Arabidopsis thaliana: one gene and its partners. The protein of the gene in region 4 interacts with the protein of the main gene of each other region in a pairwise test. Each region holds a gene or a part of one and is shown on either strand. Other genes may lie near its edges. The genes, in order: FBH2, NUC, IDD5 and AT3G49950.

The links.
Region 1: the proteins of AT3G49950 (region 4) and FBH2 interact in a two-hybrid assay, tested with the Arabidopsis thaliana proteins (one large-scale study listed by BioGRID).
Region 2: the proteins of AT3G49950 (region 4) and NUC interact in a two-hybrid assay, tested with the Arabidopsis thaliana proteins (one large-scale study listed by BioGRID).
Region 3: the proteins of AT3G49950 (region 4) and IDD5 interact in a two-hybrid assay, tested with the Arabidopsis thaliana proteins (one large-scale study listed by BioGRID).

What each region holds. Positions count from the first base shown.
Region 1 is NC_003075.7:5,844,495-5,851,583, forward strand, and holds FBH2 (basic helix-loop-helix (bHLH) DNA-binding superfamily protein), read left to right. Parts: upstream 1-2,817; 5' UTR 2,818-3,018; coding exon 3,019-3,471; intron 3,472-3,963; coding exon 3,964-4,110; intron 4,111-4,314; coding exon 4,315-4,380; intron 4,381-4,750; coding exon 4,751-4,819; intron 4,820-4,952; coding exon 4,953-5,006; 3' UTR 5,007-5,269; downstream 5,270-7,089.
Region 2 is NC_003076.8:17,771,233-17,778,728, reverse strand, and holds NUC (C2H2-like zinc finger protein), read right to left. Parts: upstream 5,874-7,496; 5' UTR 5,639-5,873; coding exon 5,500-5,638; exon of another isoform or gene 5,094-5,499; coding exon of another isoform or gene 5,072-5,093; coding exon 4,675-5,071; intron 4,081-4,674; coding exon 3,216-4,080; 3' UTR 2,980-3,215; downstream 1-2,979. UniProt on the Arabidopsis thaliana protein: Transcription activator that binds to the DNA sequence 5'-CTTTTGTCC-3'. Regulates photoperiodic flowering by modulating sugar transport and metabolism. Regulates SUS1 and SUS4. Transcription factor that regulates tissue boundaries and asymmetric cell division.
Region 3 is NC_003071.7:501,900-512,265, reverse strand, and holds IDD5 (indeterminate(ID)-domain 5), read right to left. Parts: upstream 6,892-10,366; 5' UTR 6,744-6,891; coding exon 6,560-6,743; intron 6,299-6,559; coding exon 5,902-6,298; intron 4,340-5,901; coding exon 3,112-4,339; 3' UTR 3,036-3,111; exon of another isoform or gene 2,801-3,035; intron 2,569-2,800; 3' UTR 2,174-2,568; intron 1,770-2,173; 3' UTR 1,485-1,769; downstream 1-1,484. UniProt on the Arabidopsis thaliana protein: Transcription factor acting as a positive regulator of the starch synthase SS4. Controls chloroplast development and starch granule formation. Binds DNA via its zinc fingers.
Region 4 is NC_003074.8:18,519,117-18,525,501, reverse strand, and holds AT3G49950 (GRAS family transcription factor), read right to left. Parts: upstream 3,037-6,385; 5' UTR 2,933-3,036; coding exon 1,700-2,932; 3' UTR 1,568-1,699; downstream 1-1,567. Other genes in the region: AT3G49960 (Peroxidase superfamily protein), read left to right, coding at 1-107, 196-396, 523-688, 783-1,189. UniProt on the Arabidopsis thaliana protein: Probable transcription factor involved in plant development.

The DNA of each region.
Region 1 (7,089 bases), on a different chromosome or scaffold from region 4:
CATATTTTTCTCACATTCTTTTCAATATGTATATGAATTACTATCTTCACAATTTTTTACAAAAAGCTACCACTCTCTCTATTTTTCTGCAATCACTCGTTTTATTTGTTTTATTTTTTCTTACAGTTTCTCTTTCCATCCTCTTATAATTTTGTCTAAACAATATGTGCCATACCTTCTAAACTTTTCATATGCTCCATATTTCTTCTTCGAAAATCTCTTACTTTTCTTGTTAGTATAAGCATTTTTTAAGCTCGTCAAGATGTACTCTGTTTTGTTTTCTGTTATTCTAAGAAAATGTTTTACCTTCTAAACTGGTACTTAACTCTATCACTTTTCTCTTTTGATGCAGTTTAGATCCTTTTCACCTTCACGCTTTCCAGACTGAAAGACCTCAATTTATATCTTCGAGAATTTGATTCAAATTGATACGATTAAAAACACCACTATCAAACCACGTCATTGTTACGTTTCTTTAAGTTATATTAAAAAATGTTGGATTAGTTGTATAAAATTCTAGAAAAATTCTTTCTAATGCCCTTTTCATTATGCCCCTTTTTAACTTTACCCTTTTTTTAGCCATTTTCATTTTTACCCTCTTTAGCCATTATGACCATTTTACCCCTATTTGAAAATTGTTTTAGGTTAACAAAATAAAATATTAATATTTTTCGCCTAAAATATCCAAAATAAATTTCCCGCCAAAAAAATTCGAAAAAAATTACCGCCAAAAAGTTTTTTGTCAAAACTAGTTTTCTCGCAAAAAAAATATTTTTTGGCGGGAAATAGATTTACAAGGGATTTTAAAAGGGTTTAAAAAGATTTACAAGAAATTTTAAAAGAGTTTTAAAAGATTTACAAGGGATTTTAAAAGGGTTTTAAAATATTTACAAGGATTTTAAAAGAGTTTTTTAAAAGATTTACAAGGGATTTTAAAGTGCTTTAAAAGATTTACAAAGCTTTTTTAAAGATTTTTAAAGGGTTAAAAATTGTTTTAAAAAGGTTTTAAAATATTTACAAGGGATTTTAAAAGAGTTTTAAAAGATTTACAAGGTATTTTAAAAGGGTTTTAAAATATTTACAAGGGATTTTAAAGGGCTTTAAAAGATTTACAAAGGTTTTTTAAAGATTTTTAAATGGTTTAAAAGTGTTTTAAAAGATTTACAAGGTATTTTAAAAGGATTTCAAAAGATTTACAAGAGATTTTTAAAGATGTACAAGTGTTTTTAAAAGATATTTAAAGAATTTACAAGAAGACCCTTTAAAAACTCTTGTAAATATTTTAAAATCTTTTAAAATCTCTTATAAATCTCTTAAAATACTTTTAAAATCTCTTGTAAATTTTTTAAAACCCTTTTAAAATCCCTTGTAAATATTTTAAAACCCTTTTAAAATCTCTTGAAAATATATTTTTTCCCAAAACAATTTTACAAGGATTTGCATAATCATTTTTTTGGCGGGATTTTTCTTTTTGGTGGGAAAAAAGTTTGCCAGAAAATTTTTTTGGCGAGAAAAATAAATTTTTGGTGCAAAAATTTGGTGGGAAAATTTCAGTTTCTAATTACATGTTCCTATTAGATGAGGATAATTTGGTCATTCTGTTCAAGGGAAATGGTATTTTTAAAAAAGGACAACATAAAAAGATATTGTTGCAAAAGGGTAGTAAAAAAAGAGTAGTTTTGCAAATCTCCCAAAATTCTGTAAGGGTTTAGGTTTAATATTATTTAATTATAATTATATTGCTTCCTTTTTTATAAGTTTAAATTTAATATTTGTTATTTTCGTTTTTTATTTTAAATTTTAAAATGGAAAGTAATTATTATTTTTAAAAATGTTAATTAATTAGATGTTAAATATGTTAATTATTGATGTGACAGCTTCCGATTAGTTGTTTTAAAAAATGTTAAATAATTAAATGCTAAATATGTTAATTATTGATGTGGCAGCTTTCGATTGGTCGTTCTAAATCCTATGTGGACGGCTTTAGAAGCAAATAGCCTCAACTTTTATATAGTATAGATTTTCAGTTTTTGGTGTTCAATTTTTCGATCACCGGTTTTGATGAGATTGAAAAACTCTGTGGGAATTTTTTATGGCCGGGCAACCCGAACACCACACGAGTTGTAAAAGTGCTTTCAAATTATTTTATTTATTTTATAAACATTTAAATCTTAAAAATAATATATGAGAATTAAAATTAATAAATAAAATTTTAACCATAAATTAAAAACGAAAGTAACAAAAAAAATTTAAAAAATGAAGTAATTTTTTTTTAAGATTGTAATATTTTTTTTAATAGGATGGTTTTTTATTCTTTACTTTTTTTCACCAGCGACCATTTTATTAAGTTAGGAGAACTAATCCGGAGTCGATGTACTTACATGAAAAAGAAAAAAAACTTCGTGTTCTTATATTTTTTGTTAGGCAATCAACACAGACATTGTTACAACAGAGAATAACTCTAATATAAAATAAAGACAAAAAATTTCAAAAGCTTTTTTAAAATATTGTAATTCTTCAAAAGCTTTTAAAATGTTGTAATTCTACAAAGCAGCTCAACTAAATAAAAGTTGCATTTTGCAGACATACGAAGTCGCTAATTTTTCACATATCGGAATTGGACCGAGAAGGTGGAAACTACGCGCCTCCATCGAGAGTGGTGTAAACCATAATCTATTACATAAAAAAAAAGATAACAAAAGAGACGTTAAAGCAATGTTTCTCTGTTACGCGCTGACGCATCTCTAACCTTTTTAGGTTCTGTACTATCTTTATCTTTTAGTCAAGTGTTAGAAAAGTATCTTAATCAGACGGTTAGGGTTCTTTATTATTACTAGCCGCAATTTTTTTATTGAAACAAATAAATAAAAAAATAACCCAAGAACAACAACAATCTGGTCTGCTGATGTATTAATTAAAGAAAAAAATAAAACAGAGCAAGAAACAAAAAAAAAAATGTAAAGAAAGAGAAAAAAAGCTTTCGTAGTGTCTATTGAAACCAGAGAAAAGCCAAAGGGGATGCAACCAACATCCGTCGGTAGTAGCGGCGGTGGTGACGACGGAGGAGGCAGAGGAGGAGGAGGAGGGCTAAGTAGAAGTGGACTATCTCGGATCCGTTCAGCTCCAGCGACTTGGCTTGAAGCTTTACTTGAGGAAGATGAAGAAGAGTCTTTGAAACCTAATCTTGGTCTCACCGATTTGCTTACCGGGAACTCGAACGATTTACCGACAAGTCGCGGCTCGTTCGAGTTCCCGATTCCTGTTGAGCAAGGGTTGTATCAACAAGGTGGGTTTCACCGACAGAATAGTACTCCGGCGGATTTTCTTAGTGGTTCTGATGGATTTATCCAAAGCTTTGGGATTCAGGCGAATTACGATTACTTATCGGGGAATATCGATGTTTCTCCGGGAAGTAAGCGGTCTAGAGAAATGGAAGCACTCTTCTCTTCTCCTGAGTTTACTTCTCAAATGGTAAACCAAAATTAGTTCTTAAATTAGGGTTTTCTTATACTTGCCAAAAATAGGATGAACTTAACTGACTTATTACTTGTTTTAGTTAATTTGCTGACCAAGTTCTCGAGATTGAAAAGACCAGTCTTGTCTTAAAATTGACAACTTGTGTTTTTCTGAACCAAACTAAGCAAGTTGCAGTTTCTATTTTAACTCAAAAAAAAAAAAATGGCAGTTTTTGTTGTTGGCTCTGTGGCTTTAATGTGTCAATGTGAACATTAAAGAATGCTCCTATGGGTAAAGTGTTTAGAAGACCATAAGTCCACATGATGATACATACTTCGGTGGTTAATGTGTACAAATGTATTGATTCTCCACACCTTTTGGTACATTGGTCTACTTAGTATTAAGTAACTACACTTGATCAAAATTTTGGGAACATATGTGTTACCTATGTGTTGATTAAGGTATTAGTGCTGATTTGCGCTTTTTGGAATTTTTTTCTGTAAGTAGAAAGGAGAGCAAAGCAGCGGTCAAGTTCCTACCGGAGTATCAAGCATGTCGGATATGAACATGGAGAACCTTATGGAGGACTCTGTTGCTTTTAGGGTTCGGGCTAAACGTGGTTGCGCAACTCATCCCCGCAGCATTGCCGAGAGGGTAAACAACATTCAATCTTTATTTTCAATGTTTTGGAAGTGTAGTGATCAAGGTTCTCTTAACTTTATACATTGAAGTTTAGTGATACAACTTATATCTTTACTTTCAATTTACGGATGTTTAATGATGCACTGTATGCTTCATTGAACAGAGGATTGTTCTGTTCTGGTCAGTGTATATTTATCTTTACCTTTCATTGTGTAGGTACGAAGGACGCGGATTAGTGATCGGATAAGGAAGCTACAAGAGCTTGTACCTAACATGGACAAGGTAATATAATTTTCAGCTTAGGTATAATCTGATGACCTCGGTTACACAATTATATTGACTAGAAATAGGTCAAAGATTATCTATGCTTAAATCAAGTGTAGAAGTTAGAGGTCAAATTAAATATGACTGTTAATGGTTGTGATGCAACTTCAGAGACACGGTTCTCAGCTCTGTAACTAAGTAATTCACAAACTGTGGAATGGATCTTGATATGGACTTGAATTGTTGTCACCTCGATCAAATAAGTATGAACTTGGTTTCCTCTCTATAGATTATGAACAAACTGAGGAAAACTTTTGGTTTTGGTATATATGGAGATTTGGAATCTAGGCTTTGAGTATATCGGTTAACTTTTTTGTCTTTGTTGCAGCAAACCAACACTGCAGACATGTTAGAAGAAGCAGTAGAATACGTGAAAGTTCTTCAAAGGCAGATCCAGGTAAATTATCTAAGTTAATATATATACACACAAAACCTTTTAGAGGAACCCAATAGATGAATTAAAAATGATTAGTCAACAGTATATAGTAAAAAGAGTTATGAGTTGGTTTATTTTGGTGTGGATAATATAGGAGTTAACAGAAGAACAGAAGAGGTGCACATGCATACCTAAGGAAGAACAATAAGGTTTGCTCCTGATTTGTTTTATATTTGCTTAACGGCAATGATCTGATCGAAAAATTCGAAAGATGATCTTAGCTTGAATTTAGATGGATGTCATGTTGAAAAGTATATTATTTGATAAATGGATGTAGGTGTAATATAAAATTTTTGTACAATAATGAAGAAAGTTAAAAAGAATTAATGAAAACATATATTCTTTATGATATTAGTGAAATGACTTTGATTTCATGTTGTTTGATTATAGTAAAGTATTTTCAAGATGTGTATTACAGTGTTTTTAAAACTCATTCATACAGTTACAGCTAACATACTAGATTACTAACCATCATGGAATAAGATTGCTTAGTGGTGCAACCAATCCGCAACGAGTTTGCAAACGAGGACAGAATTGCTCGATGTTTTGTCGAACCGGCAAGATAATCGGGTCTTTGTTTATTGCAGTGTAGATTAAATCTTATAGCGAAAAAGGGTTAATCATCTTACTAAATCCGCTGCAATCAGTTTCGAAATAAATCATTCCGCATACCGCGCTACCAAAAGTAGTGTAGTGTCAGGAGTTCTTAGTGTAAAGACATGAAATATATTTGAAATCCTTTCAAACCAATTAGATGAATCTGGTTGAAGCCATCAAATTAAAACCAAACTGGCTGCACATTTTTGTTTTGGTTTTCCATGAACCATCAACTTGAAAACAAAGAACAAGGGAGTTCAAAACATAGAAGGGATGATAAGCTCTGGAACGACTCCCATGCCTTCACCAATGTACTCTGCTACACCTAATCTTGGACTCGCATCCACGCTTTGAGTTCATCTCGCAATCACAAAATATTTTGTCAAGGATCTGGTTTCTACATATTTAGTATTGTTATCGTTCCTCGCTTTCGAGTTATACCAAGCTAACCAAGGGTAGAAACCACTATGTTCCCTTGTTCCATCTTGATTTCGAACTCTCCATAATAGAAAGTCTAAATTCGTGAATACGGAATTCGTTGGGAACACCACATGTGCTGATGGAACTGAGTCACTATTCTAGACTCTTTGTCTCAGCTACGAGCTAGTCAGAATTAAGAGTATATTTTCCTACTCAATTAGATCTTGAATTTTTTCGGTTTATATTCCACCATTTAGCCTCCTGGTCAATCAATGAATCAACTCTAAAATGGGGATATCAATCTTGTAATCAACCAAAAAAATAAATTCTTACAGTAAATTATGAAGATGATTGTCTTTCTATTTTTTCTTTTATTGTCCCGCTATAACATTAATCAAACTATAGCATAGCACCTATCATCACACGGATTGTTTCGTCCCATTCAACAATTTTTGGGACTTTGCCTACAATTTTGCACTCTCAATTCTCATTAGAAAAAAGAAGCCTGAAAATTATCAGAAACATCTAATTTCAATAAAATTGAGATGAAAAAATAACTAGCTTGCTATAGTTCAAAACAAAATTCATAGATGCAAACAGAAGAAGATTCACAAAACATCCAAAAAGACGTAGTAGAATAACGCTTCTCTTTAATGAACTTCACATCCGCCAGGATTTCAGATGACCGCTCGATAGCTTGGTTGAGAATCTTCCTCCTATGAAAAAGAAACTCTTCAGTCTTCTAGAATCTTCTCCAAGCTTCTAGACTCCAAGCCAACCGCCATAAACTGACTTTACGAATTTCCATTTGTTTGCTCCACGATGCTCTGTTTTCTTAAACTACTTTGTGAGGTACTTTGACTTAGTACAGAAACTCCTTCAGAGGTTGCATCTTCAACTGAATCATCAAGCAACCATCACCAGATTAATTGAAGTAAAAAAGGCTCGAATCAAACCAAATCAGCATTTGTTATTCACATGTTGTTTACATGTATGTCACATACCTAAACTATGGCGATCGTGATCGAGAATAAGATAACATCGACGAGTCTGAAAACTATGGTCTATGTGTACAGTGTATATACTATGTAAATGTTCCGAACATTAAGCGTGGTCTTTATGCCAACCTTCTTGCTCATAATCCTTATGTTCATATAATAAACTATGTTTTCAACATCTTAAATCTATCCAGTCCGAATAAATTCACTTCACGG
Region 2 (7,496 bases), on a different chromosome or scaffold from region 4:
TCATTTCAATTATATTTTTGAACCGCCACTGTTTATATTGTCGATAAATTTTGAAGAAAACTTAAAAGTGTTTTGGAGAATTTTTAATTTCTATTTTTCTTATTTGACTGAATCTAATTTTCTTCATGAGAGAGCAAAAGGGAGATAAGATAAAAGGTGGAAAAAGCCTAAGCTAGGAATATCAAGCTTTTTTCTCTTTTCCTATTCTTTTCCTCCACTATAAAGTATAAAATTTTTGCCTTCGAGTTAGGGTTATGATTTTAATAATTGAGCTTCAAAAGTCTCCACCTTTCATTGTCCCCACAGCCACCACTTCTCCACTCTATCTATGCTTTTTGTTTTTGTATATTCTTGCATACAAGAAGAAAAGACCTTTCTTACTCTTTAATGGAGAATATGCATGGATCTTCACTTTATCTTCTGCACCGAATATGCTTATAAAACCAGATTATTTCTTTGAATTCCTTTATTCCTTGACCCAATATATACGTGAATCAGTCTCTTGATCGATGATACAACTTAGTTAACTTTATGTGTGTTTTGGGTTAAATGACGATGCTCAAACTTTACACCATTTCCCATTTATATGATTTCAATATAATAGACAATGCATCCCATGGAAAAAGAGTTGAACACTATAAATATAATTAATTATTACCCTGATTCAATAAAGTTGATTGTTTAGGAGAATAAGATAAATAGTGAAATTCGAAGATGAATATAATAGAGATGCTGAGTCAAATGTCATTTACATGATGCGAAAAATAACATGAGTGGGGCAAAGGGGAGATTTTGAATACGAAAACTTTTATTTATAGTAAATTTTCCGAAAAACGTTAAAGTAGGTTACATCATAATATAAAATTATAAACCATTGTGGTTATTGTCTTACAATAATTGTTATATTAGTATCCTCTTAAAAGAAAACTAGATTTTAACCCGCGGTATACCGCATGACGATTTATTTTTAAAAGTAATATATACTAAAACTTGCAAATTTTATTTTTACAAAATATTTATATTTTACAGTTTATAATTGTTATTAAGTAACGTTATACCACGAATTCATGAGACAATTGTTAAAAAAACTGAAGTTTTGACCCCTATTAAAACAGCATATTAATAATATTTTAAAATTTTATAAATATTGATTCAAATACATCCACCATATAACCCAATTCCAAAAAAAAAACATGTTCTGTAATTTTTTTACCCGTCCCATGATTTTTTTTTAAAGTAGTAATTTTTATAATTTTAGAATTATTTTTTATATATAAAAGTTTTGCAAATTGTATCATTCTCTAATACATTTATATTTTATAGTTTAATTTTATATATAGTAACATTATACATACCACATAACATTTTTGGTTCTATATATTTTTTTCTAAATTAGGATGATTTGATATGTTTAATATTAGTGGTCTCAAAAAATAATAAATTAAAAATTTAATCCATATTGAAACGGTGGATTAATTATATTTTACTTTTTTATTAATGTTGATTCAAAAACCCGTCCCTCCAAATCCGTCTTGCCAAAAAGTTATCTATTTTATTAATATTAGTTTTATTAATGATATGACTATAAATTATAATCTAAATATTTTAGCTAATAACATAGGAGTGCACCATATTTATTTAATAGGGGAATGTACCATATGACCCGAATGTATTTTTATCCAAATCCACCAAAAAAGTCTTGCAAAAATACTATAGAGATAAGAAACGATAGTCGGTTTTGATAGATATAAGATTAGCAAATATATTAGTTAGCTTAAATTAGTTAAAGAATACAAATTAAAAAGGTATATTACACTTTATTCAAATATAGTATCAAAACTTATATAACACAGAGATTTGATAATTTTTTAATTGTTGAATACTTTTTTTTTGTGCTAATTTTATGTGATTAAGATTTAGTTGATTTCATATATAAAATATCAAATTGAGTTATTTGTTTATAATTTGGTAACAGATAGATATTTGAATATTCAGTATATTTTGCTTCAGTTTAGGAAATCTTTGATGACCCGTCTTTAGATCCAATAAGTCCTATAATCTAGAGATTAATCTGCAGTATATCGCAGGTAGGCTTATATTTTAGTTAAACTAAAAACTTTTATTGTAAAGATGATTTAAAAATATATGATATTATTTTATTTGATTTTAAATGTATAGTAGACTGTGAGTTGTATATGTTTTGTTGATATTATCTATATTGTTTAGTGTTTAAGATTATACACTTGTAGTTTGATTATTAATTTAAGAGTTTCACATGTAGTATACCATCTTGTATTAATATCGATATAAACCCGTCAATTCTAGGATTTTCCAGCTTGTATTAAAAATTGAATCACATCTAATATGTTATTAACTATTGTAGTATATAAGATTATAAATTTTCAATATAATATGTATGAAATTGAATATAAATATTTCAAATTTATGTCTCGTTACTCAGTAGAAAGTTTTCTTAAATATATTTTTCACCCGTTATAATATTATTTCATGTATTGAACAGTTTATATTCGTTTTTAAAAATTTAAATTATGGCATATGCGAAAAAACTCTAATTATTTTTTTATAATGATGATATTATTTTTCCGTAAAAATAGAATCATATAAAGATGAGAAATGAACTATAATAATTAATAAAAAATTAATATGATAATTTAGATACCAAATATAGTTTGTTGATTTTAATTGGTTACTTTTTTGGAAATTAATAATGTATTTCGTTTTTCTAATTAAATTAAATTAATTAAAATTTAGATATCAAATCTTATATGTTGATTTTGATTGGCAATTATTTTTGAAAATTAATAATGTATTTCGTTTTTTAATTAATTTAATTAATTAAATTAGTATTTGACTTTTTAATCCTTATAGAGATAAATTAATTTACTCTTTAAAATTTTATTTCTAATGGCATACCTATGTAATTACTTACAAAAATTAAGGTTACATTTAAAATGTACTTCCCGTATGATAAAAATTCAAAAGATTATGAATGTCTTGTGAATGTCATTGACATATATCTTGAAGATAAACACATTCATTATACATATATCATAAGTTTTAGAATATTGAATTAATAAAAGAAAACAACTTCCATTACCATATACATATGTTATCTTAGAAAATGGTGGAAATGACAAAAGATTCCTTCTTCTTTTACGTAATTTATGCATTAACCCCGAAATTTTTAAACTCTTTCAAATCCATCCATTGATAGACGATGGATGGCACAACGTTTGTACACCAACCCCGAGGAAATCCCGAGTTTGCCCTCCTCCACCCACTTCACCTCCACCATCAACTCTTCTACGTTTCCAAGGGTAATTCTGTAATTCATCCAAGGCAGACGCAACCGTAACGTCATTTCTAGCGTTCTCGATCTCTTGATGATCATGACTACGACTCATTAACCCAATGTTGTTGTTAGACCCGAACAAAGCAAAAAACTTTTCGCCACTGTCATAACTGGTGGTTTGATCGGTGGATTTAAGCGGGAAACTTTGAAGAAACGTTGATGGGTCATTGGTCGCTGCGGTTGTTGTAGAAGTAGCGCCAATTTCAGCAGCTTTCTGTAGTAAAGCTGTCGCGGACATATTCACGTTTGAATTTGCGTTTGCGTTTTGTGGTTGGTCGCTGCTGAATAAAGAAGGGGCAGAGAGAGTAGTGGTAGTGGTCAAACTTGCGTTTGCGTTTTGCGTAATCTGCTCATCGTGAGTATTATTATTATCAATGCAAGCAGACGCTGCCTTAGCGTTTCCAAAAACCCAATCGTAGTCCGGTTGCGGTTGAGGCGGCGCGATATCTTGTCCCATCCATAGAGAGAGCGACGAAGAAGTTGGTGGCTGAAAATGTTGATGATGATGGTTTGGATTTGTTTGCGGTTGTGGTACAAATGGTTGAAGCGGTGGGATGAATGTTCCCATGAGATATTGATAGTTGAGATTAACTGATCCTGGGGCTCCAGCCGCGGCTAAACCGTTGAGATGAGACACTGCGTTTATCTTAGCGGTTTCTTCCGCTAAGGCATCGCAGAAAGCTCTATGAGTGATAAAGCTGTCTCGCCTGTTTCAACCAAAACCACCATTAGTTAACGTCTTAATCAACATTTATCTCAATGCATTTATATCAAAGTTTTAACTGATGAAAATACTTGAAAACATTTAGCTGCCTTTTCTTTATGTGCAGCAGTAAAAGTAGAGAAAAACCTAAGTACATATTTCCGTAACATAACTATTGATGTGTCAATCTTGTGTTGACACTTTTTCCGCATATTAAGTAATAAATAATGTTACCATTTTGAACCATACACACATGAAGTACTCCATTATTTGTATATATTATTATATCTAGCTTATGTTATATGTTCATCATGGTTATTATAAATTTATACCACTTTTTGCCTCAATCATGACACTAACAAAAACATTTTCCCAAGCAAGAAACTTTACCCTACTTCAAAAGAGATAAACAAACACATAGGAAATGACAAAACATACTTATAAAACTTAATCAAACTACATATTGACAAAAACGAAGATGTAGATACTATAAAGCTACTATAGAATAGCTTTCGAACATGATCAATACAAACGACAACACATATATACATGAAGCTTATTTTTAATTTAATTGACAGAGAAAGAAAAAAAAGTGTACCTTGAGAAAATGGTGCCACAATCGCAACGGTACTCTCTAGTACCACAAGTCTTGGAATGAGCTTTCCAATCAGATTGGACTGCGTATCTCTTAGCACATTTCTCGCACGTCCACTTCTTCTCCCCGTGTTTCCGGCAAAAATGCTTTTTGATTCCAGTGAGATCGCCTAGAGCTCTAGAGGAGTGATGGTGGACACATGTCTTCTCGGGGCAAACGTAGACACGTTTTCTCACTTCTTTGCTTGTCCTCTGCTTCAACTTCCATGGAAGATTATGTCCTCGCCGATGAAGCTGTAAGTTTTGGTCTCTTTGGAAACCTTTGCCACATACCTCACATAGGAACCGGTTCGTAGCCATCAAGGTCGTGGGGGATAAAGCTATCACTTCAGCTTCCGGATCTAAGTGGATCATCATTAACATTTGTGGTTTCTTTAATTAGGTCAATTCGGAAAACAACATCTATTTTTGGATCGGATCATGTACTTTAGTAAAAATAATGTGTGTGCTTTTCTTGGTGGAGGTAATAATAATAAAGGGTATGTAAATATATTTTCTCATGGAAACTATAATGCGATTTAAAAAAGAAGAACTCTATAGATCAAATAAAAGTTTTAATTTACTAAAAGGCCTAGTATTTTCACATTAATTAAGCATGAGCCAGTGATCTATAACTCATGCAGCCAAATACTACTTTTGATTTAGGTCAAGATCCAGAACAAAACAACCCAAGAAAATTAATTTATAGGGGGCAAAAAAATAGAAAAGATACTAGGGTTTTCTTTTTAGGTGATGATCAAGCTAGCTGAGATTTAATATAAATAATTACCAGGATTTCCAGGGAGATTTCTCTTTTTCTTAACAAGAGGAGGATTGATGAGAGATTCATCATGATCCAGGGTTGATGAGCTCTGTGGCTGAGCAAAACCTGATCCACTTGAGATTGTTTGAAGAACTTCACTTGTCATGTCTTCTTCTGGGTTCTTGACTTCTTGGAAGAGAAATTAAAAGTAGGTTTTTGTATAGTTCAGAGAGAGAGAGAGAGAGAAGGAGACAAAAGGTTAATATAAGAAAAAGATTAGAAATACTAAGAAATCTGCAAGTTAACTATGAACGAGAAGGAAAAAACAACAAAGACAAAGATATATTGGGTTCTCCACTTATATATGGCTTTTGTCTTAACCTATACCACTCTATATTAGCTCCTATATATAAGTGTGTGTGTGTGGGTATATTAGCACCTTGATATGTTAAACTGTTGCAGCCATTTTGATTAAAATATGTGGTTAATTGTATTTTTCTTTTCCTTTATGAGATTATTTTAAAAGAGCAAAGTGGATGGCGGTGGAAAATCATAAGCTGAAAGTGATAGCAGCAGAGCCAATAAAATTTCAAAATGCAGAGATAGAAAAAATTTAACATCCCTTGATTACTTTATAGGCACCCTATGTTTGCAGTTTCACTATGAATTATTTCAATATAATAAACAATTTTCTTTTAGTTTGATTCATTTTATTTCATGTTCATACATCCTTAGTTTTGTATAGACATGGTATTTGCTAAGAGTAATTTTAATTACATTTTTTCACAAATGATAATCATGTATTTATGCATCATACAGCATCAAATGCTTCATTTATATTAAATCTTAGAAAAATCGATTAATAGCCTTGCAAATTCGAAGCGAGCTGTTAAAAAATGTAATTAAATTACCAAGATATTCGAAGTAATTTTGTTGTAGTAGTGCGTTATGACACATAGAAAGTTGATATTTCTATCTTTTCTATTGAGAATGATTATCTCGTTATTTTTGTGTTGCCCTTTCCTCTCCATTTTTTTTTCTGGTTTTTTGGGTCCAATAATTACTTACTTTTTGTTCCTACATGCTCATGTTAACTCAGTGCAAAAAAACAATCTTACTATATTTTTTTTGTTTTTTATTTTATTTTTTACACTTCTTTCTATATGTTTTTTTGGGGATAAAATGTGAAGTTATTTACCAAAAGGAACAGTTTATTAGAAGATCTTTTCGTAGCATCAAAGGTTCATTTGCCAAAAATAAAATAAAAATAAACAAAAATCTAGATACAACAATATTAGGCACTAGAAAGGGCTTTACGCATATGTAAACAAACTACTGGGAGATCAAAATTGTGTACGCCTTGTGATTTTTTCAAGCTTGTAGAGTATATAATACGAAATGCATCGATCAATCTGCCTAAAGAATGATGAGGCTGTAGTGGAGTGTAGTTAATCTTTTTGGATTCAAGGAGTACTTTGATACAGATAGCATAAAGAAATTGTTATATGTATATATATATATATATATGTTTTTATATATCCGTAAATTTTATCTTAAATGAATTATGTTTACAAAGTATTGTAATGTATATCTAGTTACAATAAGATACATTTGCTTTGCCAACAAATAAAAACATTAATCTGATTTATCAATTGCACAATCTCTATAATGCTTATTAATTTGAAGGTATGCAGTATAAGTAACAAAACAATGTATTAAAAAAATTGATTGACATTAGTGATCAATAAGAAAATTATAACTTTATCTATCACCTTTTTCTTTGCAATAGTTGTATTCAGTTTAAATACACAGTTAACGGGATCACTATTCACTCCCATCAGATATCATATACGGACATAGTCATTTTTGTTAGTTATTCATGAATCAGAATTTTTCACAATATGTGAAAGAGGTAAAACAGATCCAACGGTTATGGTCACATCTCTTGTTTGTCGAAGTCGAACAAAGCCTGCCATGCACGTGTACCCATGCACGTGCTCTTTAGGTATACTCCAACAACATAC
Region 3 (10,366 bases), on a different chromosome or scaffold from region 4:
TTGAAGCTCTTTGTGTGTGTTTTTCTCTAGTGGGGTATGCTCCGTATGGAGTTCCAACCATTAGAAAATAATACAGGGGTTATGTTTCTCAGGGAGATTCTTCAATAGTAAAAGAAAGAAACAATAATCAAGTTTGTGAATCGGAGAGATTATATATATATATAAAGTTGTTATGTGGATTTATATTAATTGAAATGGATAAGAAAAATAAAAGGGTAAAGCATGTGAATGACAGAGTTGTCGTTCATGTGAAAGATAGAAAAAAAAATGGCCCGTGAAGAGATTGTCGAGAAAAGTTTATGAATACTACAAAAATTCTTGAGATTTCTTCTGCTTGTTCTTGGTCCACTTCATTATGGGAAATCTTTAATTGGGCCATACAATAACTATTAATTAGTAGATGCATTGATAATATGCTTATATATTCCATTTGAATCAATCACAAATTTGGATCCATTGGCATATAACTTTAACATCTATCAAAAGGAAGTGTATAGTAAGAAGACTAATGAAATCTGTTTTTTTTTTTAGTATATTCAGTTGGTGAAGGTATAAAATCGATAAATCAGAAGGTGATTTAAGAAATTAAGTGAAAATAATGAATATATATATTTTTTTTAAGAATTTGAAGTTATAAATTTGATTATTACTCGTTCGAAACAACACTTTTCAGTATAAAAATTATTTTGATTGGTTTACAATACCGAGACATATGTCTTAAACGGTCATTTAATAATGAGATTTAACACAATATTCCCTATGTTTTTTTAAATTAGTTTTTTAGAAAAATACACCTATTAAAAAAAAAATTAAAAATATAAAAATTATATTAAAAATAATGTATTAATTTTTGTGATTTATATTTTTCTATAATTTTAAACCAATGATATTCAATTATTTATCTTGAAGTTTAAAATTCATTAATAACTAGGTTTTAACCCGCAATTTACCGCGGGCAATCGGTTTATTTGGTTCTTATACTAAATATTTGAATAAATTTGATATCCTAAACTTATAAATATAAATTTTTAGTGATTAGTGAAGAATCGTAATATATGATTTGTATATTATTTTTGTTGAACGGTTTAGATTAAAAGGGAATTAATTTTATTGAACGGTTTAGATTCAATCGGATCATATAAAGTTTAGGAGATTGTTAAGACCAAATTATCCTTAATGATTTTAAATAGCAAAGAACAAAATCTAAAATTAAAATCAAAATTGAGGCCAAATTAGACAAAATTTCAATTTGTACTTCCCTTTTAATAATAAAGGGATAACTAATAAATAGTGTATAGAGAACCTAAAAAAATAATTTTTTAAAACAATTTTTTTTCTAAAAAATCAATTAATTTCAAAAATATACATGCTCTTTGTAAAGAGTTTTGCACAAGCTTACTACAAACAAAACATTCAGATTCATGAATAAAACATCCAATTGGTAAATTGACGAAAAAAATTAAAATAACCAATTGGTAAATGTGCATTAGTTTACAAAAGATAGAATTGAACGATAAAATATAACAAATTTACGCTTTTAATTTTAAAGCAGGGTGTCGTTGATGGTAAAAATCTACTTTCTCTACATGGATTATTTAACCAAGAAAAAAATAGGTTATAAGCAAAACAATTTTAGAACAGAAAAAGAAACAGGGGAAATTAAGAAGATGAGAGAAGAGCTGTCTGTTTTTGGTGAGACAACGATATAATCTCTCCCTCTCGTTTCATGTCGATGGGCCTCCTTACTTCCATCACTTGCATGTATGTCCCTACATTATATATACGAAATTTAACTATTATTGTTATTCCCCTTATAAATTATTACGACAAAGACATTATATTACCATTATTAATATCGTTATTTCAACAATTGTAGATGTTGTCACTCACAATAGTGTAATGATATGTTCACATACGCACACCAATAGAATAAATCTCTAACAAAAAAAATATCTAAAACTAGCTAAAAATCCAAGAAAATATCAACCATCATACACCGAAATATCAAAATACTTGAATGAAGTTCTATTAAATCATTTGAATAGTTATATTTGTAAGAGACAATACAATATCCAATCTAAAAAAAATAGTAACAACAAAATTTAAAAACTAAAACTGTAATTCTTATGTATTCTAATATATACACGATTCCATACAAAAATCGAAATTGTACCTTAGATGCAGTTTCAATTGATGCTACAACTTTTAACCGCAAATTAGCATCAATAATGAAGACGCGTGAATGTTGAGACAGAATTGTTTATTTTGGACCGTCAAATTTAAAATATGATGGGGACAATCCTTTGAGGATATGGTAGGAACATGTTACATACAGAACTATACAAATGCATAAATATATGCACATGTGACACCTATGTGACATGTATATGTATACATGTATCGAGATATTTAGAAAGGAGATCACAGGACAAACACTCGTGACATTGCCAGCTAGTGAAGATGACAAATGAAAAGAAATTAAAGAATAAAAAGGCAAATAAAAGAAAATGAAAACAAAAAGACAAATAAAAACTTAGCAAAGGCTGCTTGTACTCTCCAACTCATTGACTGCCCCATGCAATGATAAGACGATAAATGTGTCAGCCAAAAACAAATATAAAAAAACATTTTTTTCCTATCAAAAACAATTATTCACACCCAAATTTTTTATAGTTAAACCCGTTAGTATAATGTTGTTTTTAGCCTTTGACCCTATAAGAAATAATACATACAAGAACAAAGACTAAGCATTGACTCTAAAACTATAAGCCAGAAATATATTGAATTTCTTAAAGTATCTAATATGTCACAAGGCAAGAAGAAAAAAATCTACGGATAATAATATGAAAATTTCTTCATTGTGAAACCATAAACTATAACTCTGAAATTTGTTTTTTTCAGGAGGGAATCCATTTTATATAAACAATGAAAGGCAAAATCTTTTACAAAAGAAAAAAAAAAAAGAACTGAGTTTAGATAAATTGCAACTAAAATTTTAATTACTTCAAATGGGGTTTTGATGACGACATGCATACCTGAAAGATATAGCATGTACTTTGATGAACTAAAAACCTTTTTTAAAATTTCTCCTTAGAAACTTCTTTTATCTTCTTAGAAACTCGCATGATGGATTCCATAAGGTGGTGAAGTACTTGCCGGACCACCTCCGGTATTCACATTCATGCTGCTTCTATCAGCGGAATCCGACGACGAGCCAACTCTTTCTCTACTATTTCCATGTTGTTGTTGTTGTTGTTGCTGCTGTTGCTGTTGTTGCTGTTGTTGAAACCCTCCGCTTCCACTCATGCTTTTTACGATCTGTCCAACTCCAAGAAAGTCTCTAGTCATGCTCTGTTTGTCAGCGCTTAATCCTTTGTTCACTCCTCCGTACGAACCAAAAGGAGAATCAACTCCGTTAACGTTTCCCGTTGCGCCGGGGTTAGAGAAAGAATTCATCAAATCCTGAAGATTACTCTCATTTTCTCCGTAGATTCCACTCCCAAAGCTTCTTAGGATCGATGAGGCATTGTTATTGTTGTTGGTGTTGCTTCCGTTGTTGTTGTTGCTTGAGGTTGAACCCATTTGAGCAGCTTTCTGTAGAAGGGCAGTGGCTGACATGTGAGGTGCTGAATTTGGACTTTGCATTGATGAGCTAAAGAGTGAAGGGACTGATCCTGAGCTAATTCTATCTGCCGAGCTCATCAGATTGTTAGGGAAGAGACCAGTGCTTCCTTCTCCTCCTCCTCCAACAGCATTTTCGCCATCATAATGGTTTGATATCATAAGATTACCAGAAGAAACAGCAGCAGCGGCGGCAGCATTAGGGTTACTTGTGGCAGAAGTAACTCCGTTGTTTCCGGAGAGGAAGCTGAGATTGAAGACATTGGAGGGAGCAGAATTATGGTTATCATGTGAGAACTGCATCAGATTCTGTTGAAAACTCATTGGTGATTGCTTGATGTTATTGTTCCCAGCCAAAAACCCTTGTTGATGATGATGATGATGATCTTGTTGATCATGAAAGCTAGGGTTTTGCTCTTGCATGAAGTAGCCTGAAGCATTCGCAGCAATGAGATCAGAAGAAGAGCGTGAAGCGGCTCCTCCTCCTCCTCCTCCGCTTCCAAGACGGAGAACGTCACCGGGCTGGTGATCAAGATTCTGTGGGGCCCCCATGTGGGACAGACCAAGGATCATGCTTGAAGCGTTGTTGTTGGAGTTGTTTGTGTTTTGTCCGTACGGGAAGTGATGACTTGGCAAAGAAGTCAATGAAGTTGGGTGTCTCGCACTCTCTTGAGCCAACGCGTCACAGAAAGCTCTATGTGTGATGAAACTGTCTCGCCTGTGACACAAAATAAAATAAATAAAAATCAATTTCACAATGGAATCTATTGGATCGTCAGATATATCTCTATACTATTCATATAAAATGATGAAATAAAAGACATATTTTGGGAAAAGTGAAAGAAAAAAAATATAAATGTAAGTAGAGAGAGAGACTCATCATGTCACGTAGCTACAAATAGATTCGCGTGTAATTATGGGATCTTGAAAAGTAGATAGATGGCTAGAAAGTCACTCTACTACTCTATTATACATCATATTATTATTCACCTGTGTAAACTCTTAACAAGCTTACACACTCACATGTTTGATGCATACAATAAAATTGCACGCATACACATAAATAGGAGTACAATGTTGTGTCACATTTCAACTATGATGATGTATTTGTCTATATGACTATGTGTACGAACAAATCTAACTCTTATCAATATCAGTTTATGCAATAATAATAAACATAAACATTATTAATCAACTCCGGAAAACTATTATGCTTAATTCACTATAATTTATGTATGAAACTATGAATATAGCTATCTATATAATAAATTAATGTGGTATTCAACGAATTCCAAAGGTAGGTGGAAAAAGTTAAGTTTCACACTAATGTATAGAGAATGATTGTCAAATGAATATCTGAGTTTGTCCTAATTCAAGATCTTGTATGTTCAATAAATGCAAGTTGAGCATGTATTCAATGAACTACTTATATTTTTATTTAAGAAAACTAGCTACTTATATATATTTGCAGCACCACATATTTATTTACTTCATTCTATTTATAGAACTCCTCTAAATGCACGCACACACACAAACACAGCAATGCCAGCCAAGACTGAGAAAAAAACTCTATATTCGAAATAATTATTTAGTCTATTAGTTATCACGTCTATGCAAATTTATGCCATTTTATGCAAAATGTGTAGAGTAGTGAACCAAACTAATATGTGGCTATGGTACAGAGTACAAACGAATCATATGAAATAATTGTATTTTCGTAAAATTTTACACATAAGAGAACAAACACTGTAACAACAACCTCCCTAGATATTATATAGTTTAGCAGCACGTGAATTGCCCATATAGTATAAGTATAATTTCATATCCAAGAAAAAAAAATCCTGAGAAAAATATATTAATTTATTTTTATGACAGAAAATAGGGCGGTGTTTCCAAGGCAAAAGAATATTTAAAAAAAAAACTGAAATTGAAATTGGTCCTCTTTGGTTTTGAGTTTCTGCTAGAAAGCATCTATTGAAATATGGCAGTTTCAGTGTCATCTATAGATATAGTTATATAGACACACACACACATTCACGTGTGTTCTTGTATCATTTTTTTTTATAAAAAAAAAAAGAAAAAAAAAACTAAAGTTGCATTTACTGCACGAAAGAAAGCGATAAGAGCATCGAAGACTTCGAGGCGAAACAGAAAGTGAACCTAAAAAAAACCCTAATTCATGAAGAATGACTCACAGACACATATTCACACACATATCACTATAGCAGCTCAATAGATTAAATTATAATTTAAAGAGTTTGAAAGATTTGGATTACTAACCGAGAGAAGAGTGTACCACAGTCACAACGATACTCTTTGGTACCACAAGTCTTGGAGTGAGCTTTCCAATCCGATTGAACAGCGTAACGCTTAGAGCATTTATCGCATTTCCACTTCTTTTCACCGTGTTTACGGTAATAATGTTTCTTGATTCCGGTGAGGTCTCCGAGAGCACGTGACGGGTCATGGTGGACGCACGAGGGCTCCGGACAAAGATACACTTTTCTCTTCACTTCTTTGGTCGATTTCTGTTTGAGCTTCCATGGAAGATTGTGTCCTCTTCGGTGAAGTTGTAGATTCTGTTCTCTTTGAAACCCTTTGTTGCATACTTCACATATGAATCTGTTTGTAGCCATTAGTGTCTTTGGAGATAAAGCTATCACTTCCGCATCGGAATCTAATCAAGAGGAAAATTATTAACTAAATTTTAAAAGTCTTATATTGCATGGAAGATAAATTGATTGAAATCTGAATTTTGAAAAACCAACTACAAGCTAGGGTTTGCTAATTTGCTTATTTCAAGATTTTAAAAAATGTAAAAGGGAGAAGAAAAAAAAGGACATGGAAAAGGGATTTATCTTTTTCACCAATCAATAAGTTCTTTTAAGAAATGATCACATGATTATAAAAGATTTGAATTAAGAGGTAATTAACTTACTTGGAGTTCTTGGTTGGTTTCTCTTCTTTTTCTGCGGTGGAGCTTCAAGCGGTGGCAGCGGTGCCTGGTGGTGAGGAGGTGGAGGAGGAGGAGCAGCGGCGGAGGAATTAGGTGGGAGGAGGTGAGATTGGTCATCTTGTCGGACTCCAAAGAAGGAAGCAGCGGAGGATGAAGAAGCAGCCATGGATTCTTCTGTGTTCTATGTGATGGTGAGAGAGAGAAAGAAGAAAAAGAAAAAAAAAAAGAGAAATGAAATGAAATTAGAGAGAAGAAACTCTTTAACATTAAATTCTTTTTTGACTTCCACTGATATCTTATCTCAATAAAGCCCTAAAATTGGGATATTCCAGATTTTTAATTAATTGGTTATACTTTTTTTAATAGATATAAAATTATTAAAAAAACATAGAAATTCTTGTGAGGTAATAGAAGAGAGAAGTTGAAAGTGACAGGTGAAAAAGAGTGTAGGCTAGTAAAAAGAAAGAAGAAATATAAGTCACCACCCAATGTTATAGCCTAGAGTGTTAAAAGTTCATATTCGGTTAAAAAAATAGGGTAAGATAATCAAACTGAATTTAAATCTAGCTTGGTTAGTTTGGTATAGCTCTAATTTCATATGTATGATACATATGATACTAAAAACTCTATACATTTATTTGTAAAATTTTATATAATTTTTCTTTTGTTTGTAACGCATTTAAATAAGAATATTTATATAATTTTGGTGTCGCCTGTAGACACTAACACATATACAGAGCTATTAATTATTTTTGATATCATTTTTTCTAAATATGTAATTAATTTTAGAAAAAAAAGAAACTATGAGAGCTACAGAGGTCGGTGGACCCAATCCATTTGCCACAAAACGACAGTGGATGGTGCGTGAGACAACCCTCAACAGCTCCTCTCTCTCGCTAACATATGTGAATAATAAATTTCAAGTTTTTTTTTTTTTGGATCTAAAAGGGTTTAGAAAACAATTACCATAGTGTAATATGACTTTAGAAATTGTAGAAGAAGATATTTGACACTAACATAAAATATCTATACGAGATTGCTCTTACAAGAAAAGTTTAGCATCACGATCTAAGCTATATAAAAACATAATTTTTTTGGTTTTATATATCTTAAAGAAATGAAATGGTTTTTTCCTTAAAAAGAAATGAAAATGTTGGAATTTGTGTGTATGTAACATTTAACTAATTTTAAATGTTTGACCATATAATATCTCATAAGAAAAATACGTAACCGAAGAAGGAATAAAAATATAATATTTTGAGTTTGAAATAAATTAGCGGTTGTAAAACTAAGCGACTATGTTTTCATATAATTTTACAATTTTAATAACACATAAATATAAATTTAAAACTATAAACTATAAACTAAATAAATCTCATAAAATTGTATTCTAAAGCTAATGTTTTCATATATATAGGGACAGATTTCTTGAATTTTCAAAAGTTAATCCACAAAGCATCTTATGTTTTTCTTAAATTGTCAAAATAATTATTTGTCTCAATCGTCATCATCATCTCATATGGGTCTCTCTTTTTTGGTTTTAAAAAGTTCCTATCATATCATACATACACACATATATATATGTCTGTCTGTGTGTCATGGAAGATTGAATGTGAAAAGAAATATTCCAAAGATAAAAGAAGACAAAAAGAAGAATGATTGTATATATTTTTCATGTATATGGTAAAGTAAAAACCAAAAAGGATACTCCAATTTTTTAACTATATTTCGTCGTCTCTTCCCATATTCAAGCAATTAGTTAGGAACTATTTAAATAAATCTATGAATAATTTCCCAAATGATAGATCCCGTCATCTTTTTTTTTATCCATTTAAAATATCAAAAACAACTATATAGTATATATCTATGTATATACTTTAGTGACTATTGAAAATCAGTCATGTTCTCCAATGAAGGAGATCAAGAAAATCAACCCATTTTTGTATGGGTCTTCGTTAACGTGAGCATGAGTTATATATAAAACTTGTTTAGCATAAGACAATAGAAAACAAATACGATGTGATTGTTTTTATATGATGGATAATTAGTTTTGTTATGCTAAATTTTTTGAGGAAAGGAATATAATTTGCCATTCCCGATAACAATGACACTTGAACCATATCCTTTCCTCTCACATACATATTCGAATAGAAAATTTCTTTCAAATCAACAGTAAGTAATATATAAATATAGATATATAAACAGAGCCATATTTAAAATAAAAGATAGGAAAAAGAACTTCACCTCTTTTAGCTTGTCGTTTGAGGTCAATTTTTGAAGTAAATTTCTATGAGCTTCTTGCTTCTAAGTATGAAGTAGAGGGCCATATATATATATATATATATATATATAAATATATATACATACATAGTAAACATATACATAGATGGGTTAAGAATAAATTTAGGTGTTATTTAGGCAGTTTTGCAAAATCATTAACTACTTTAATTAATTACTTTCAAAGAAAGTAAATTATTGACTAATTGTATAACTGGACAAAAGGTGTTAGACTTAATTACCATTTATAAATTAAATTACTTTAAAATAATAATAAAATAATTAGTTATTTTAGTATTTACCAGTTTAACCTCCAAGTGTGAGAACAAAAGAAAATGAAAAAAAATCACAGAATAAGTCCCTTAATTTGGTCCAATCAATTCGTTTACTTTTTAAATCTAACTCTTAATTTTGGCTTGTTAACAAATCAACCATTTCATATATACACCATGTAAATATCAGTTCCAATGACAATTTTCCTAATAGATTTTAGCAAATTTTGAAAAGATATATAGCCAATGTAGTAAGATATCAAATGCAATCATATATAGGTCAATCAAATGATTAGATAATATATCCATAAGATATCAAAATTTTTATTAACCACTTTAAACCAATAATTTTTACTATAATTTTCCAATTGTTTTTGATGCTAATTGTATATATATATTTTTAAACAAATAAGAGTACTAGACTACATAAATTTTAATAAGCATAGGGGTTTCTTATTTATTTTTAAAAGTGGTGGTTGTAAAATGACTCAAATTAAAAAACTAAGGAATTTTAAAAATAAAATAATAAAAAATCAATATTTGTCAATTATAAGTTACTTTTAAAAAATTTCTCCATAATGACTGTTGAATTTTTTTATTGACTAATAAATATTAGTCTACGTGTATGTCATGGCGAGGTTATAAATCTTTTATAGCTATCTGAAATACAGTTATGAATTTGTTTGTGTGTAAGTCATTGAGATTTTATAAATCTCTTATATTTATTTTAAGTATAACTAACATTTGTTTGAATACTAAAATATTTTAAAAATAGTATATTTATTAGTTTAACTAAAGCAAATAATTGCAGAATTTTTGAAGTGATTGATATCATTAAAAATAAAATATATATCATGAAATATTAAAAGATGGTGCATATATTTTTGAATTTAGTAAAGAGTAATAAACATATAAAAATTTTCGATTTTTTGAATTTTTGAAACGTATTTGAATTTTTGAAGTGATTGATTTTAACAACAATATCATGAAAAGATGCTTAAAAATTGACAATTTATTATATCATTAAAAATTCTATATTTTAGAGTGTTTGAAGTGAAAAACTTTATGAATAAATGGTCACTAGATTTTAATCCGCGGTATACCGCGGAACGATTTATTTTTTAAAAGTAATATATATTAAAACTTGCAAATTTTATTTTTATAAAATATTTATAGTTTACAGTTTATAATTGTTATTAACTAACACTATACCACGAATTCATGAGACAATTGTTAAAAA
Region 4 (6,385 bases):
CCAATGTCGAACAAATCGTGAGAAATGCTGTCCAAAAGAAAATAAAGAAGACATTCGTCGCCGTCCCTGCCACTCTCCGTCTCTTCTTCCACGACTGCTTTGTCAATGTATGTTTCTATTTAAGCGTTTTCATATCTTTTTTCTCCTCTTTCATTAGGCGATTAATTGGTACCTTTGGCGTAATTGGCATTGTAGGGTTGTGATGCATCTGTCATGATCCAATCAACGCCTAAGAACAAGGCAGAGAAGGATCATCCAGATAACATTTCGCTAGCTGGAGATGGATTTGATGTGGTGATCCAAGCTAAGAAAGCCCTTGACTCTAACCCTAGTTGCCGGAACAAGGTCTCATGTGCCGATATTCTTACTTTGGCCACCCGAGATGTTGTTGTTGCGGTGAGTATTTGTACTAGCCTTACTATAACCAGATAATTAATCCTAAACAAAATTTCACATTAATATTAGTATATCACATTGCTTGTTTAGAAATGTTTTATATAACAAGGTTTTACGCATGTATAGGCTGGAGGACCGTCCTATGAAGTTGAACTTGGTAGGTTCGATGGTTTGGTATCAACCGCGTCAAGTGTCGAAGGGAACTTACCAGGACCTTCGGACAATGTAGACAAACTTAATGCTCTTTTCACGAAAAACAAACTTACCCAAGAAGATATGATTGCTCTTTCAGGTAAACCAAATTTAAATCAAAACATCTTATATAGTTATATGTATTTATATCACCAAGATGCATCGATGTCTAAACCGATAAATTCATAATGTAGCGGCTCACACCCTTGGATTCGCACATTGTGGCAAGGTCTTTAAAAGAATCCACAAATTCAACGGCATCAACTCCGTGGACCCAACTTTAAACAAGGCTTACGCTATTGAGCTTCAAAAGGCTTGTCCTAAGAATGTGGACCCAAGAATTGCAATCAACATGGACCCAGTCACGCCCAAGACGTTTGACAACACTTACTTCAAGAATCTTCAACAAGGCAAAGGTCTCTTCACCTCCGATCAAGTTCTCTTCACGGATGGTCGCTCTAGGCCCACCGTTAATGCTTGGGCCTCAAACTCTACGGCCTTTAACCGCGCTTTTGTGATAGCCATGACCAAACTTGGCCGTGTTGGAGTTAAGAATAGCAGCAATGGAAACATCCGTCGTGATTGTGGTGCGTTTAACTAGAGCTGGTAATGGGAAAATATAAGTTGTCTTATCTCCTATTTTCCTTTCGTTTTATTAATGTTTGAATGTTCATTTTGACGATGAGAAGATATTATTGGTTTTTCATTTGTTTTGTTTATGTCTTCATTTTAAGAAGGCAATTGTATCTGATCCTCTCTACTTTGTATCTCCAACATGTTTATTCTCGCTACAAATTTAAATAACTATATACTATTCAATTTTTCCTATTATAATAAGTTTTCACTGTTATCACTAAGCCTATTCACGGAAAAATATCTATGTAAACTAAAAGTGCTTATGAAGATGTAAAATATGTTTAGTCATAATAACGATTATTTTTCAACGTTAGAATGTTTTGAACTAGTACAAAACAATTGACACTAGATTAGAACAAAAAAAAAAGTTAATAAAAAATATTATTAAATTGTAATTAGATCAGAAATTAAAGCAATGCTATTCTACTATATTAGGTATCCAATTAAAACGCTAATTAAATTAAATCAACCTGATTTAAATGGGAACCCAAACGGTAGCAAACACAACACTATGACCTTTCCACGTCAGCACGAGACTCTCGTCGTCGTCTTCCTTCTTCATTCCCCACCCGACAGCGTGCTCCTCCAGCATCGCCTTCACATCCGCCACCGCATCTTCTTTAACCCTAACTCCACCGAACTCAGCCTCTCTCATTCTCTCTATCCACCGTCTCTTCGTCTCCGTCCTCTCCACTCTCTCCGCACCTTCCTTCGCCACCACGTTTTCTATCTTCCAACTTATCTCCGCCTCGTACCACCGTCTCTGCTCACTCATAAACGTGTCCGTCGTATCGAACGGAATCCAGAAGTAGTTAAACGCCGATTTTAACCGGTTAACCAAGTTCTCCGATGTGAGATCTACGTCTTCTTCGATTAGGGTTACGATTCTTGGATTCAAAGATCGGAGTTGTTTCAAGAAAACTGTTCGGAGCGATGATGATGATGAAGTTAGGGGTTCTTCAGGGATGTAACGGAGCATCATGTGACAGTTAACGACGAGAGCTTCGTTGAATGAAGAAGGATAAATCCGTAACTGTTGTAAGAGGGAGGAGAAGCCATCGGAGTAAGTAGAAGGTACGATTGTGAACTCCATTGTAATGTTTCGTGTGGTGGCGAAGTTGACTAGTTTAGATCCGAGTTCTTCGTAGGAGATGTTGATGAATGGTGGGAAGTGGTCGGAGGAAGAGACGACGGTGAGTTTAAGAAGCGGAGGAGGTTTGTTGAGTCGGCTTGCCATGGCGTCTATAAGAGTAGGGATTTGCATACAATGAGTCAAACTTAAGTCAACGATGTGAACCGTTGAGTAACCTTCAACGGCGGTTAAGATCGCGGCGTTGGCTGCAATGAATCCGAACCGGTGCCACGGAGTGAGGTCTACGAAAGCGGCTAACTCCACGACTGAGAAACGATGGAGTTCATCGGCCTGAGGTAGGAAGCTAATGGTGGATGATAGTGTAGGGGTTTTGGAGACGGCGCGTGAGAGCAACGCGCGGAGGAATGCGGATGTAAGACGTTGGGTGGAGTCACCGTCTGGTGGAGCGATGTTGTTGAGGACCCAGAGGATTTGGTGAGTTAATGCAGCGTCGTTGGAGTCTATGGCGGTGGCGCAGTGAAGGAGGAGCTGTTCCATGAAGTTAGCGTCGCCGCAGCCACGTAAGGGTTTGGGAGAAGGGAATCGGGTCGGGTTGAGAATCCGGGTTTTGGTCATTTGAGTCTGGTTTTAGAGAGAAATGTACGTTTAATCTTGTTATTTTTGTGACACAAGAGGAAACAAAAAGAACAAAAAAAGAGTATAGTAGGGTGGAGACAATGACATGTCCATGATTTTTACGTAAAAGTATTCTGAAAAGTGAAAAATAGAGTGAAAGGAGACAAAGGAGAGGGATGAGGAAAGAAAGAGACGAGACAATAGAGAGAGTCGTGTAAGTATGTCGTAACCTTATCATTGGGAAACGCATCGCTTTGGTCGCTTGTGTTGTGTAAGACAAATATTTGCAAGATCAGCTTTTTTCAATGTATAGAAGATGTGCATATTGCATATGTGTTTATGTATCTCTATACATGTGCAATATGTCTTAAATAGCTAAAATAAGGAATCTTTAGTTAGGTCGGAGGGTGCATTTTATCTCCTATTTAGAGAAAGCATTACATTTTTTTAGTATGATTCACTCGAGTTATTGTAACATAAATATGAACTAGAAGCTGATATTTTTGTTATAGAAAGTATGTATGTGAAGGGGGTGCTTAAAGGTGGGTGACATGTGAAGTGGCAGGTTTGTATTTATGTATATATGTACGGCCGATCAATTTGTCTTCTAGGTGACGATTATTCTCTTTCGCCGCTCTATCGCATTCATCAATAAATCACTGCATACACTTTGGAACAAAAAATAATTTAAATTTATACCTCCATGAATTTGGTCCGTTTGTATGTAGCATTTGGACGTTATTTATTTTATTAAACTCAAAATATGTTTTGAGTCTTCAGATATAATTAAGAAGAAGATTTATTGGCCTTATCTCTTGAGATATATATAAGTCATATAACAATAGACTGATAAAGAAAAGTTATATAGCATTAGACTAAACAAAATGAAAACATGGACTAAACAATCAAACGGCTCCTATGTAGGGATAGGATAAGTATAGTGACAAATCTCATTATCATTATCAGTTTTTTTTCTATGCCTTTGGAAGTAGGTTCATTGCGTATTGGGTATTTTAGGCGCAATATGAAAGCGCTCACAAGGCATGATATTTTCAAGAAAATTGGTTGAGAGATCAAGTACCATCACCTCCAGGAGACATAGACGTTGGGCAGCCTAATGATGTTGTCGCTGTGATGAATTTAAACGAGCTCCATCATAGTTATTGTTGATAGAGATCTAAAATTCCTTCTGGTTCATCGGGATTTTGCCTCGCAAACCTCTGGGCGCACTATAAGGGTTCACAGAGTTGGCTCATAATCAGAATTTTTTCTGTTGATTTTTGCGCATGAAACAACGTGAATAACTCCTCAACGATATTAGCAGCCATCACAAACATCAGAGTATATGCCATTAGCCTCTCCTCTCATAACCATATATGAAATAAACAAATAAGCATACTAATCTCTAAACCAAATTGAACAGAGACATAAAAAACAGAAGACTCATGAATCTTGACCACGTTCCGAGAAATGTCCGTAGATCGATTATGAAAACAAGAGTAGAAATCCCTAGCTAGTTATATTAGGTAGACTTGATAACGCATAACACTTTATTTATTCTGCTTCACCTTTTCGCTAACACTATACACTTTATAGTCCAAGTTACCTTCACGTCTTCTCCTTCACGAACACGTATATGTTTCTCTGTTTCATAAAACTTAAAAACCTACTTGAAACCTAAGGTCTTTCCGTAAAGTCTATTGGGCTTCATCAAAATAATACAAAGTGAAAATTTCCGGCCCCATGGTTTCAAGCCCATTTCAATTACTTGGGGGGGGGGGGGGGGGGAGGGGGGTATTGGAGCAATGAATTTGACGGAATTTATTAGAATGTTGATTCTAGTGTTATTCAATTAGGCATTTTATAAATTCTTTTAAATTCTAGTATTATTCAGTTTCTCAATTTCTTAATTCTACTAAATTCAAGTGTTATTCAATATTTTGTAATTTTTCATGACAACGTCATTTGTCAAGAATTTAATAAAAATATTAGTGCAAAATGCACAAAACAAATTCTTACCTTTTAAGTTGTGATTTGGATGAAAATATATAAGGGGCCTCAAATTGTCGTATAAGGGCATGTTCGATCTAGTGGAAAGGCTAATAAGCTGCTAATTTCCCCTTTTGCACGATTAATAAGCCTATTGTTGGTATTGTTGATGTTCCTAATTCTTGTCTTCAAGTACTCTCCAAACTTTCAAGCCTAAAATGTTACTGGTTCTCAGAAAACGGTTCTTTGCACCATAGAGTACTCTCGTCATTGTGCATAATCATCATCGACGCCCTTAGCTGCGGAGATAGCTCTCGTTATCAACGTGAATTCCGAGAAGAATACAATGAAGATGTTTCGAAATCTACAATGATCACAGAGGATTTAGCGAGGAAAGTGGAGAAGCTATGGGATCTGTTAAACTTAGTAGTATTGAGAGTGGTTTTGAGACGAAGAAGAAGGAGGAAATATTGCAGATTTTGAAACGTGTGATTAGAGATTTACAAGTGGAGACTGTGGAGAAGAAATAGGTCCGGTTGTTAGCAAAACTGAATTATTAGTACTTTTTTTAATTCTATTACAGTTCTATTCAATTCTAATAAAATAGTGAAAATGTAATCGTTAGAATTGAAAACAAGATTTGAAATCTTTTGCAATGAGTGAAAATCTGTAATTATGTATCCAATTCAATTCAATTAAACTCTTTGATCCAATACCCCCCCCCCCTATTTATTCATTTATTAGAAATTTGTAGTAATTACTGATTTTTAAGCAAAGTAACTAGGTAAGAAACTAGAAACCACTTGTTCTTCGACTGCCATTACTCTAAAATAGTTTGGTCGAGCCTCACCTCTAAACTCCTAGCTGCAAAATTCTCTACCGATAGGAACGTGATTCTAAGGCTGCTCACGGACAACACGCTTGATAAGGTTCGCTTATTTCTACTAAGATATTCTTTTCAGATTGTAATCTACTCAATTTGGAGAGAAAGAAATTGTAGAAGACATGGCGATAAGCACACTCCCCCGACTCAACTAATGAGAAAGCTAGACAAGGATGTTAGGAATAGGATATCTTCCCTAAAAGATCAAGGAGATGGAAGATATGAGAAGCACATGACAGTTTGGTTTGCAACAAGATAAAGAGGCCGAGTTCTCTTTTATTTTTTCAGTGTCTGTAACTTTAAAGCGATTAAATTTCCGGTGCACTTGATGTAAACATGTTTTTTCGAATAAATTTTACATTTTATTCAAAAAAAATAAGCTAGGTAAGAATATGTGCTATGTACTGATAAATCTTATGCTATATAATTTTATGATAGAATAATTTATAACTAAAACTCAAAGTTTTAATCCAAAAATGTTAAAACCAAATTTTGTAAGCTAAATATTTTAAATTAAAAAGCTATATAAATATCATACAATATATAAAAATTCATCTATAAAAAAAAGTTACAAATTGAAT